Neodiprion lecontei: one gene and its partner. The protein of the gene in region 1 binds, or shares a complex with, the protein of each later gene. Links are inferred from orthologs where the notes say so. Each region holds a gene or a part of one and is shown in the gene's direction. Other genes may lie near its edges.

Region 1 (5,998 bases):
TCGTGAAAATACCACTTTTTATTCGCCGGAGAAATTGTCAATACCGTCAAAAGATTTATTCTCAACAAGTGATTACATGGAAATACGCGATACAACAAATCCGAGCATTTCTTCACGTAATTGTTCACTGCCTTCATCCCACGTGAAACTAGGGAGACCACTACGACTGTTGAATAATACTGCAGTTTTTTACAACGGTAATAAAGATCAGGAAACTGGTTTCAGAAAACTATATCGCCATTGATTGTTCTGCGGCATTTCATCAGAATGTTCATATACCCTCAAAGTCATCTTTCTGAAACAGTACAGCACATGCAATTGATTAGATAAATGATTGTCACAAATTGTAACGAAATATGTTGAAAAATGTTGTGTATTAGAACATTTTCTTAGATTTTGCAACACAAAGTGTAACAAACGACATATTATTACTTGCTCCAGAACATGACACCTACCATTTCATTGTATTCCAATACATGTTTCCTTATTGCTGAAGTATCAACCCATGTCACAAAGTCTTCCAAGTTTCTGGAAATCGAAAATTATTACGATTAGCATTTTAGGGATGTCAATTTCAGATAGTTAGCAAAATTTAAAAATTGGTAGATACTTGTACCAGTTAATTTTATTTGGTCTTATTATTTACAGATTAAAACTAAATTTACTGTTTAATATCAAACTGAATAATTACTTTACGTCTCTCAAATGTCATATAGAATAAGGATTATTGTCTAGTTCTAAGATCTTTAATGTGAACCAGGAAAAACTGTAAAGTATTCACAGAAATATCTTTCAAGTTACTCTGGTAAGTTATAACTGATATAGAATATGTATTATTTATTAACTCTACCGTCAACTACCCTAAGTAAATTAGAAAAGTATATCATTATATTTTTAAAAATAATGCCAATTTGTTTTGATTAAATTAGGATATTAATGATTTAAAAAAAAGTATATACCTTGTTACAAGAAATGCTGGGTCCTTAATGACTTCAGGTCCAACTCGTACATGAGCTTGTTCGATTAGCTTTGTCGCCATTTTAATGGTTTCACTCATTTTATTACGAACCATAACGACAGGTAATCTTCTTCTACAAAAACAGCTGGCTGTAACTTTCTCGCACAGAGATAAATCCCACTTAGTGGAAATGAGACCCATCATATACAATTTCTCCAGCAACATGGCACTTTGTTCTATTCTGAATGGATGTTCAGCATCTACTTCCTTGATCTTTCTAGCCAGTTCTCGAATTTGTCGTGATAATTTGTTGTATCTGAAATAAAGTAGTTGTTATACGTACACATAAGTTAAAAATTAGAAACATAACGAACAGTTTTAAGGAAACAGTAGCTTAGGTGATGTCAATATCTCTGAGAGAAATGTATCGAATATTTCGATCATGTGGAGGTTATACTGAAAATGACAACTCACTTCGTATAATCTTCTCTTTTTTGGATTCGGTATTTTTTCAAAATTTTAATCTCGTGCAAGTTATTGTCTACCTCCCAAGAAATAAAGTCTACTTTTTTCAGTAACTTCTTCTCGTGATGTTTCAATTTTCGAACCATCTTTCGAATTCAAAAATGTCACGACTTACACGAACACGTGTGTTTTGTCGACACGCGAGTCTGGTTTTCAGCGGAAAGCAATGGGTGCGTTCGACTTGGGCGCTTACGGCTTCAGGCTTCAGCACATATATAAATATACATATAAATGCTATAGGATATGGCGCTCACAGCGCTCAATGCAGAGTGCTCAATGTGGCTCAAAGCGACCCAGTCGAACGTACCCAAAGTCGGCCTGTACAACCTCAGTACTCTCTGCTCAGTAGAAGCGTGCGTGGACGGTGGTGGACGGTGGGAACTGCGGAACGAAACCGTCACGGTAAACAACCATGGCGGATCCGTTGAGTTTGCTTCGCCAATTCAACGTAAATAAAAAGGAAATTATTGAACGTGAAAACCAAATTATATTTGGTGAATTCTCATGGCCAAAAAATGTCAAGACAAACTATTTGACATACGGGTAAGGATCTCATCCAAAAAATCTCATTATATTTCTTATACTACTTTCCAATCTGGGCAAACTACAACCAAAAATCAGGCTCGTCGTTTTGCTTTTTTTGGCACAAAGATTATTTAAGTTTTCATATTGCATTCATGTGTAGCTGACTGAAATCAGTGTTATACAATCCTTATTCTTCACCGATATTTTAAGAACTGGTTACTTCAGTGGCGGATGAAATTCAACGCGGGCCATTTCTCAACAAATTTGTACACGTATAATAAGGTGAAGTCTTTTCGTGTGATGCAAACACGCTCTGATACATTGAGTAAATGTAGCAAACAAACGCAGTAAAGTTTACGTGCTTCCTCCTATTTATTATGAAGATTTTCTTTTTGTACATCGACGTAGCTGTCGCTGTATTTTGGAATTTACGAACGAATCAAATGTGAAATTTCTACGGAGATACGATAAGATTTTCTGCTGTTCACAAATTTCAAACTTGATTTCTACTAGCATTCAGATATCATACATTGTTGATGAATGTTCAAGTGTAATCCACGATGTGAAAAAAGAGGTATCATTATACCTTCTCACATACTTTTTCTCCAGCGAATCGCAAAATAAACAAAACATGTTTATTAAATTTATTATTGCATAATCATAGATTTGAACACTATGAAATGTAAAATGAAGCTGTAAACAATTACCTACATTTATAATTATCCAAAACAATTGCGCAATGTTTATATCTCGATTTCACTCGCATCAAACGAGTCAGCGAGACATGAAACTTCAGTGACATAACGAAACGCAAATAAGAAATATAAGATAATAGCTTGATCGTTGTCAAAATGTGAAATGTCATGAATTTAATTTTTTTTATATTACAAAGTGGTAAGATTTCAATTGCATGTTAGTTTTTGGGTTTGTCTACGAATCGACATATATTTTGTAGTCCTTGTAATTGTTTGGTTGTGAAATTTTCAGTTTTCTGCTTACATTTTGCAGATCCGGAAAGGAAGGCACACCTAAGGAGTACTATACTCTTGAATGCCTTTTGTTTTTATTGAAACATGTTCAACTCACGCATCCAGTGTATGTGCGGCAAGCCGCCGCAGAGAATATACCTGTGGTGCGCCGTCCGGACAGAAAAGATCTGCTGGCTTACCTTAATGGTGAAACAGCCACCTCAGCCTCCATAGATAAATCAGCTCCATTGGAAATACCAACACAAGTAAAACGAACTGCCGAAGATGGGCTAGATGCGGGACTTTCTAAGAAGCCACGTTTTGAAGAGACACATGTTCAGAAGGTGAAGGAACAATTGGCAGCGCGACTGGATGCGCCAAAAGAAGCTTCTGTCACAGTCGACAATATCAAATCTCTTTCAGAGGCAATGTCTGTTGAGAAAATTGCTGCAATCAAAGCTAAACGTTTGGCAAAAAAGCGTACTACAATCAAGGAAAATGACGACATTGGTATGGGTTCGGATTTGCGTGTTATACTAGACATGGATGTCGATGATACTAAGGACATCGTATCTAGAGAAAGACAGTGGAGAACTAGAGCAACGATACTTCAAAGTGCAGGTAAAATGTTTGCCAAGAACATATTTGCCATACTTCAAAGTATCAAAGCCAGAGAAGAAGGCAGGATGCAAAAAGGGCCTGCAATACCCGCACCAATGGTTACGCCAAGGTCTACACCTATGCGCCCATTGCCACAACCAGCAGTTTACAATCGTTATGACCAGGAAAGATTTATTCGTCAAAAAGAAGAAACTGAGGGATTTAAAATCGACACAATGGGGACTTATCATGGTATGACGCTAAAATCTGTGACTGAAGGTACCAATCCCGCAATAAGAAAGCCCACAGTCAATCCTGCTGCTACACCAAGCTCCGGATTACTTCCTGCATCTGCTGCAAAACTGACTCCACAACAAGCAGCTCAGAATAAAAGACCAAGTAGAACACCCATAATAATTATACCCAGTGCAACTACATCTCTTATAACGATGTACAATGCCAAAGAAGTATTGCAAGAATTGAAGTATGTTAGCAACGAGGAAAAGCGAGCACAAGGTGGTAAAAGGGAGAATGAGATTCTTCTTCAGCGAAGAAAAGATGGTGGTCTCACTGTTCCTTATAGAGTTGTTGATAATCCCCAAAAGTTGACAAATGCAGACTGGGAGAGAGTCGTTGCGGTGTTTGTTATGGGTCCTGCATGGCAGTTCAAAGGTTGGCCTTACGACGGAAATCCTGTCGAGATATTTTCAAAAAGTAAGACAATTCAATATATCTACATTACTGGTCAATGTCACTTGGATACGTGACAGATCCTGTAGTTTTATTCTGTAATTAAGTTTTTGTCACCCAAACTTTTTTTCATTTGGTGGTTGGAGAATTCAAATAGTTTTTATATTATTGCTTTTCATAAAAATGCCTGATCAAGTTTTATATGTTTTTACTAATATGATTTCAGTTTGTGCCTTTCATTTGAAATACGATGAAATGAAGCTAGATGCAAATGTTGCCAAGTGGGCAGTAACTGTTGTGGAACTGAGTCGCACCAAGAGGCATTTAGATAGAGCAGCATTGATGGTCTTCTGGGAGCAATTGGACAAGTAAGATCAATTTATGTACAAAATAGCGAAGTTCATAACTTTTTGCGATTAAAGAATATCAATAATTCCGACGGTTATTGTTTTTTTTTTTTTTTTTTTATTTGCCTAATTTTTCTGTAAGGAAAAAAGCTGTCTTAGCATTCAGATCATTTTTACATTTATTTGAAATATGTTACAGCATGTGTGTTGTCAAACTTCCGTGTTCTTCCAAAGTTTTATTATTATTACTATTATTATTATTAATCCTATTCTATTGTCAAATATCAGCCAGCAATTTTCTCTAAAGTTGTATGTATGAGGACCAGTTTTACCAACTTTGTTTAAACATCGAACTTCACTTGCATAGTGGTTTAATTGACTTGACAGTTGAGCAGTGTAGTTTAGTAATAGATAATAGTTTGGAGGAATGAACGGATTAGAAAAGGCATAGAGCAGCTAACTTTTTTTCACCAACTTTTTGTATACCAAGAGAGAACTAGAAGTAGATCAAATTCCGAGCGTAAGATTTCTGGTCTCCAATAGGTAAAAAGACCTCTAAGCTGTTGACTTTCTAATTTATGATATACGGTGTCATAATGGTTTTATTTCTGTTTCAGGCATATGATCAAGAATAAACCACATCTGCGATTTTAATAACTGAACATGAATCGTGCTCTAAGCAGCTTGTAATATATAGATGACACAATCATCCACACAGCATACGCATGCACGTATATTAAGTTTGTATATCATGACTAATACGGTTTATAATCGTTAAAAAAAAGAGAATAGCATTATCAAGTGTAAATATTGGTATAAAAATGAATAAAATGAGTACATGAATATTATGTGGAAATATAGATTGAAAAAATGGAAATATTATATGTTTATAAATAGTACGGTTGTGTATAACGATAAATATTCAGTTATTTGCAGTGGTGATGATTTTTTTTATTCGGAAAAATTTTCTTTTCCATGATAAAACGTGAATGTTTTCATACTTCCGAATGGTTAGTTTCCGGCTAAGCATGTGGTGTGAGGTCTCAGCCCGTGGTCTCAATATGTCTGCCATTTTTTCCTCCTATCCCCCTCCGGCCAGCCGCTGTGTTTTCGTTTACGCGTGGCTTACGCCTATGTATGTTATGTAGGTACGTATCTACATGCCTACTTTACAAGATTTATTGGATCGCAGTCTGCCTTCGGAGGAAGATCGTGGTGCGTGATTACGGGATTTGTGCGGCGAAGAAATCAATCTGTTCAACGGAAATCAAAGATCGCGTGGGTGCTGTAACGTAATATAGGAGTGTTTATCCTGTAGTTGAGTAACAAGTCCGTTGAAGCGTGAAGTTTCAATTCCTTGAAAATATGTCAGGCCAGTAGTGAAT
Region 2 (6,629 bases), on another chromosome or scaffold:
TGTAAAAAGGAACCTTGATCATCTTTACATTTGTTTTTTATTACTTTTGAGATAATGATTGCCTAAGGATCATCAGGGTTTGTTACAGCATGGACTCAAATATTAGTAACAATCGAATGTTGCCTTATTTCTAAAAAATATTGACAAGTAGTATTTTTGTGTAGAATGGTCTGGGTTTTCCGATGCAAAGAAACTGTATTTTTAACAAACCAGGGGAATATAAAGTAACCATCGAGAAATTATAGTTATAGTTTCGATTTCGAGCAATTATTGCTGTAGCGTTAAAGTGTCCAGGTTTCGAATTGAGGGTTGCGCGTTTGAGGTTTGTAAATATTAAGTTAGATTTTGGTTAGTGGGCTGCAAGCTCAGTATATTAAGAAGTAGCGTGGGTTACGAATAATTTTCTACTGTTTAATTTTGGATCACGAAGAGCAAATTTTGAATTCCTTTTTTTTTTATTTGTTTTTGTATCGCCGCTATTGCAAAATGTATTATTTTATTTTATTTTTGTTAAATAGCGTGTCGTTGTCGAGTGTCTCTCTATCTGTCTTTCTCCCTCTCTCCAAAATTACCCCTCCCCTCGCCGCGGTACTGAACTACCGAGAATATTACCCGAGGTTTAGTGGAGATAAAGATTTCAAGCAGTATTGACCACGCCAGGCGCCCAAGAGAATCTCGCGATATCGTTTGCATGGTCTTTATTTTTCAGCGTACATCGCGGACCGCCAAATGATTGTACGCGCTGTAAGTTATCAGTCGCATCTCCGGGTGGCCGAGGTGCAGTAAAAATCAGCGTCACAGTACACAAATTACGTAAGGAATAACTATATGTCTTCTCCTTTGGTTAAATTAACTCCTTCGACTATTTCTCCTATTATTTGCATCAAGAATAGGTTTCTAACTCTGTTAACAGTAAACCAGGTGTATATTTATTGTGCATCTATTTAGATAACATTAATTTTGTCTATCTGATGGAATTACATTAACATTACCGAATGTGGCAAGGCTCAAATGAACTTGCATAGTTGAAAAGTATAGATAGATAGACAGATAGATACGTCATTCGACTCGGCAAAATCTAGATACACGCGGTGAACGATTAGTAACATCAGTTCTTGTCGTCTTTATGTACCAACCATTTGCCGGATTGGGTTGCGCGTGCACGGCAGGACCATAGACTTATAAAAGGTAGACTGAAGCAAAAATTTAAAGGACAGAAATATGCCGGGAGTACTCCTTTCTCTCTCTGACGATATTTGCGGCGGGGATCGAGGCGGTAGAGGAGAATGAGGCGAAATTATGCACCTATGTCTATAGCTGTTCCAGTTCCCTACGCCCTTGTCTCCCGGTATGAAATCGATTGAAAAGAGAGAGCAGCCTCCCAATATATCTCTGTCCTTTATATGTAAGCTTCAGTACCTCTTGTAGGAGCGCTCAGACTATCTTTATAAGTCTATGGGCAGGATGCAGAGGGCGCCGCTTGACGATGCATTTGTCACGTCCACATTCCATTACGAAAAGTCCCATCAGGCTATCAATCTTTGCGTATCCTTAGTCGACGCATAGTGTGAGAGGGTAAACAGTGGTTAAGGGACAGGGGATGGATGTATGTTCGTGGTTAAAAACTTATAGGTTATACGTTATAAAAATATTCATAAATATCGGAGTGCGGTATCGTGATTAGTTAGAGTACCTATAATAATTCGTGAATAATATGTGCAATTGACAAATACATCGCTACTTACGCTATGGCGCCAACCATTCAGACAAATAGCAGTAACGACAGGGACAAGCGAACTGCTAGGCCGATTGAGAAGAGGTAAATTATATGAACCGCTATATATTCTAACTCCCTGCCAACACTTTTTACTGCCACAACCCTATCAAAAATCTCTTCTGTATATACTCTTGAAGCAAACTAGTTAAATTCTGCATGTAAACGTTACTTTGCACCCTTTTACAGGGTCTGTCCGGAAAGTAGTCGAACTGAATTTTTCTCGCCCAGAGAGAGCGACAGAGACCTTTTCGTGTGGATCGGGTTGTCGGCAGTCTTAGCTAAGAAGCGCACATGTCCCCAATCGCTTTCGAGTCTTTCCGGAGTGTAGGTCGATTTTAAAGTGAACCCCGGTCAAGGTGCCTCGTCACGACCTCTTGAATGGCCTGGACCAAGCCGTGGTGCCATCCTTTCGGAACCCGTTTGAGTCGAGGGAAAAGAAGGAAGTCTGCAAGAGCTACATCTGGGCTGTAGGGTGACTGGGGATTTTTGATCATTTCATGGGCTTCACTTGCGGTTGAACTGAGTTCAAAACAAAACTTTATCGCGCAATGCTGCTCGAATAAACGATTCGTTGCGAAGCGTGACGAGGCACCTTGACTGGAGTTCATTTTAAAATCGACCTACACTCTGGAAATGCTCGAAGGCGATTGGGGATAGGTGTGCTGCTTAGCTAAAACTCCTCACAACCCGACCCACATGAAAAGGACCTCTTTCCGTCGCTCTATCTGGGCGAGAAAAATTCAGTCCGACTACTTTCCGGACAGACCGTGTATACTAGCATCTAAACGTTAATGATATCAGCAAACTATCGATTCATTTTACCCGACCAAATTTATGTCATAGCTTAGAGAGCAAATTTTGCTATAACTTGTAGTCTCTGAGACTAAGATCTTTGTCTGCCGTAATGCAACTATTTTGATGATCGTTAAATTTGATCATTCACCTCGCTTGAAAAATTGATCAAAATGTTCCTGTTCATTAATGTAACATTTTCTATTTACATCAATTACAGTGGGAATCAGATGACCTCTGGCATTCAGTCCAACAATAATAAAGATGCCATTGATAAACGTCCTAGACCAGCTGAAAACAGGTATATATCTTACATTAGTACATAACGATTTAAAAGATTAACAGAAGAAAAAAAAAAACATGAATGCAAACATCAGTTGTATTTCAAGCTGAGAAAATATAAAAAAAGAATGTGCACAAAATCTGATATTGCAACCTGTCTGCAGAAAATATTGGTCGATTCAATTAAACATGTTTCACTTGTGATTTTCAGGTCTGAATTATTATGCCGTGTAAAGTACTGTAACACCCTACCAGATATTCCATTCGACCCAAAGTTCATCACATATCCATTTGAATCAACAAGGTAATAGAGCTAACATATGTTGCAGTTCACTAATAATTGTAATACAGTCGAACCTGGATAAGCGAGAGTTCAAGGGACTGCAATCTCTTTTTCGCTTATAGAGGTTTTTCACTAACCCGAGTTTCTAGCTTACAGAGGTACATGAAAGGTCTGTCTCACTGACGTGACAATTACTCTTACTTACAGAGTTTTCTCGCTTACCCAGTCCTCATTCAGTTTTGACTGTATGTGGTTAATGATTAGCACCAGTATACTTTAAAATTATCTAATTCTCGAGTAATGTTACGAAATTGAAAAAATGTCCACTCTAACAGTTTGCAGATTAAATCCGGTTATATAACCCGATATTTTAGAGAATTTTAGCTGTTTTAGGAATGTAATTTAAAATATTGACATAACCAAAGTAATAAAACTGTTATTTTGTTGGTAGTACTTCAGATATAATAAGAGCTTTGTAAATCATACAGATTCATACAGTACAATCCGACATCTCTGGAACGTAATTATAAATATGAAGTATTGACGGAGCATGATTTGGGTGTTGAGATTGACTTAATAAACCGGGACACCTATGCTGGAGATATTAACGCCCAACTTGATCCTGCGGACGAGAAACTTCTGGAAGAAGACATCCTCACTCCTCAAGATTCAAAACGTTCTAGGCATCATGCGCGGAGTGTATCATGGCTCAGACGTACGGAGTACATCTCCACTGAACAGACACGGTTTCAACCCCAAACTATGGACAAGGTTGAGGCTAAAGTTGGTTACAGTATTAAAAAGAATTTCAAGGTAATGATATCTGTTTTTCTAATGTCAAAGTCAAATCATGATGTGTGGCATTTCAAGTAATGCATGATTTTATTTGTTGACAGGAGGAAACATTATACATGGATCGAGAAAGTCAGATAAAAGCTATAGAGAAAACATTTGAAGACAATAAAAAGCTAATTGAAAAACATTACAGCAAACCAAACGTTGTGCCTGTTGAAATATTACCTATCTATCCTGATTTCAAGGTGAGCAATAACTGACGATTTTTCCTTTTATTTTGGACCTATTATTAGGAATATTAAGGCACTTGTTAATCTCGCTTATTTCATACCACTCACAGGTATGGAAGTACCCATGTGCTCAGGTAATATTTGATTCCGATCCAGCTCCGACTGGTCGATCAGTACCTGCGCAAATTGAGGAAATGTCGCAGGCGATGATCAGGTAAACTTGAGAATTTGTGCAGGCAAACTTGTAAATCCCAACTGGATTTTACGACAGTCTTTAACTTGATATTTCATACCTTTCTGCAGAGGTGTGATGGACGAAAGTGGTGAACAATTCGTTGCGTACTTCTTACCACTAGAGGAGACATTAGAAAAACGTCGCAGAGATTTCACTGCAGAAATTGACTATGCCGATGATGAGGAGTACGAGTACAAAATGGCAAGAGAGTATAACTGGAACGTTAAAAGCAAAGCTTCAAAGGGATACGAAGAGAATTACTTCCTTGTCATGCGTCAGGACGGGGTTTGTAATATTTGTATACCTTTTTTAACAAAATCGCAATTCGGTATATTAATTCTTATGTCTTAAATTGAAGCGATATCGAACTCAAGAATACTGTAATAAGTTCAATTTTTAGTAGTCTAGTATTTCGAAAGTGCAAAATTTCTCACATTATATCGTCTTTTCACTGTATAGGTTTACTACAATGAGCTGGAAACTCGAGTACGTCTTAGCAAGCGTAGACAGAAGGCTGGTCAGGCACCTAATAACACAAGATTAGTTGTGCGCCACCGACCATTGAATGCCAATGAATTCAGGATGCAACGTTATCGTGAGAAGCAGCTTGAACCACCCTGTGAAGATGACGAGGAAGAGGAAGAGGAAGAAGAGGAAGAGGAAGAGGGACAACCACAAGAAACTGAAAAGGCTGAAGACAAAGGTATACCGAGACATTTAAAAGTTCTTTTGAAAACAGAAAATTCGTGTAAAATAAACACTTTTTCTTTGACCAGTAACCATAATGTTTTGTTCGTCGTTTTTAATACCTTGGAAAGAACTTTGTCTAGACTAAAGTCGAGAGTTTGAATGTATATTATGTATAACATCCGTTTCTGAATGATAATGAAACCTATTTGTGTACTTTTCAGCTGGCTCTGATAATGAAGGCGGTTCCCGTGCATCGTCGCGTGCATCTTCGCGAGCATCCAGTAAGAAGTCACGATCTCGTTCAAAGTCAAGATCACGTTCAAAATCAAGATCTCGATCAAAATCTGGATCGCGTTCAAAATCTAGGTCTCGTTCAAAGTCACGCTCCCGTTCAAAATCTCACAGCAAGTCTAGGTCTCGTTCGGGATCTGCTCAATCTAGAAGTACTTCAAAATCACGATCTCAGTCCAGATCTCGATCACGGTCCAAGTCCAGATCCCGATCACGGTCTGGTTCTGGTTCGCCCATTAAGTCTCCATCGCAGTCACCGTCAAGATCTAAATCGCGATCAAGATCAAGGTCTGGTTCAGGAAGTGGCAGCGGGAGTGGCTCGGGTAGCAGTGACAGTGGTTCCGATAGTGAGTGATCTGGACTATAAGTTTAATTGTATTATTAGCATAAGTGAGCAATCGATTACCTGTCACCGTTAGTCTCCCACTCACTCGCAAATAAGATAATCAAGGAAGTGTGCAACATTTCGTTAGGCTTAATTACGGGGCTATCTGTTTGTTTGGTAGCCTTGTTCATGATAAACTTTGGTGATGTACAGAATCTGCATTGACTACAATTAACATATTAGGGATTTTATATAAAATATGTCAATGGTAGTTACAATTTTTAATAAAACAATTTTCATTAAATGCACCCCAAATACTTTTGTGCAACTCATTGTCAGTCACTAATTTCTACCAGCTTATTCTCAGTAAGAACCAATAATTCAATACATTCCAGTACCTCTTAATTTTACACCAAATTGGCCTGAATGAAATCCGAAAAATGATGTAACCAGAGTATGAGCGCGAGAAAATCCTGCTTCTACACACCTATAACCGAATGAAACAACTTCAATCAAATAGAACTGTTAGACCCAAAGTAACACCAATCGCCCACCGATATTTACTTGTTATAAGACGTCAACAAACAACATTCATACGGATAAAATGATGACTCGACATATGCATTTCTTCATTGACCCAGCATATCTTTCACTATGAGTCGAGTGGATAGCAGACTTTAGGGTCGAATCCTTCACAGTCGCTCAGCTATGTACGTAACAAATCACCGCGGTGGCAGCATGCAATTCTGATCAAAAACGATCCAGCAAAGTACCACAGTGCCTTATGTTGCCCCAAATTCCACTGTAACTTCATGGTATTTGGACTGCTATTGGAACTCGAAATTTCGAATGCAATATCTGGTGGGCAAAAGATTTTGTAAATACATTAAACATCGCGATTGAAGATAAAATCAAAAAAAACTAGGGGG

What was found. Proteins that work in one complex are often made in the same cells at the same time.
Region 2: parafibromin (region 1) and RNA polymerase II-associated factor 1 homolog share a complex: the UniProt entries of both Caenorhabditis elegans proteins name them as parts of the PAF1 complex. The link is inferred for Neodiprion lecontei from reciprocal best matches to the Caenorhabditis elegans genes cdc-73 and pafo-1.

Annotation. Positions count from the first base shown.
Region 1 is NC_060262.1:32,034,113-32,040,110, reverse strand, and holds parafibromin, read left to right. Parts: upstream 1-1,808; 5' UTR 1,809-1,895; coding exon 1,896-2,026; intron 2,027-3,016; coding exon 3,017-4,290; intron 4,291-4,492; coding exon 4,493-4,634; intron 4,635-5,230; coding exon 5,231-5,267; 3' UTR 5,268-5,458; downstream 5,459-5,998. Other genes in the region: uncharacterized protein LOC124293362, read left to right, coding at 1-244; U3 small nucleolar ribonucleoprotein protein IMP3, read right to left, coding at 272-295, 456-528, 960-1,274, 1,433-1,569. UniProt on the Caenorhabditis elegans protein: Component of the PAF1 complex which is a multifunctional complex involved in transcription initiation via genetic interactions with TATA-binding proteins, elongation and transcription-coupled histone modification.
Region 2 is NC_060263.1:34,360,367-34,366,995, forward strand, and holds RNA polymerase II-associated factor 1 homolog, read left to right. Parts: upstream 1-1,535; 5' UTR 1,536-1,748; coding exon 1,749-1,819; intron 1,820-2,789; coding exon 2,790-2,870; intron 2,871-3,062; coding exon 3,063-3,155; intron 3,156-3,622; coding exon 3,623-3,947; intron 3,948-4,030; coding exon 4,031-4,174; intron 4,175-4,269; coding exon 4,270-4,373; intron 4,374-4,462; coding exon 4,463-4,679; intron 4,680-4,853; coding exon 4,854-5,097; intron 5,098-5,305; coding exon 5,306-5,730; 3' UTR 5,731-6,015; downstream 6,016-6,629. UniProt on the Caenorhabditis elegans protein: Component of the PAF1 complex which is a multifunctional complex involved in transcription initiation via genetic interactions with TATA-binding proteins, elongation and transcription-coupled histone modification.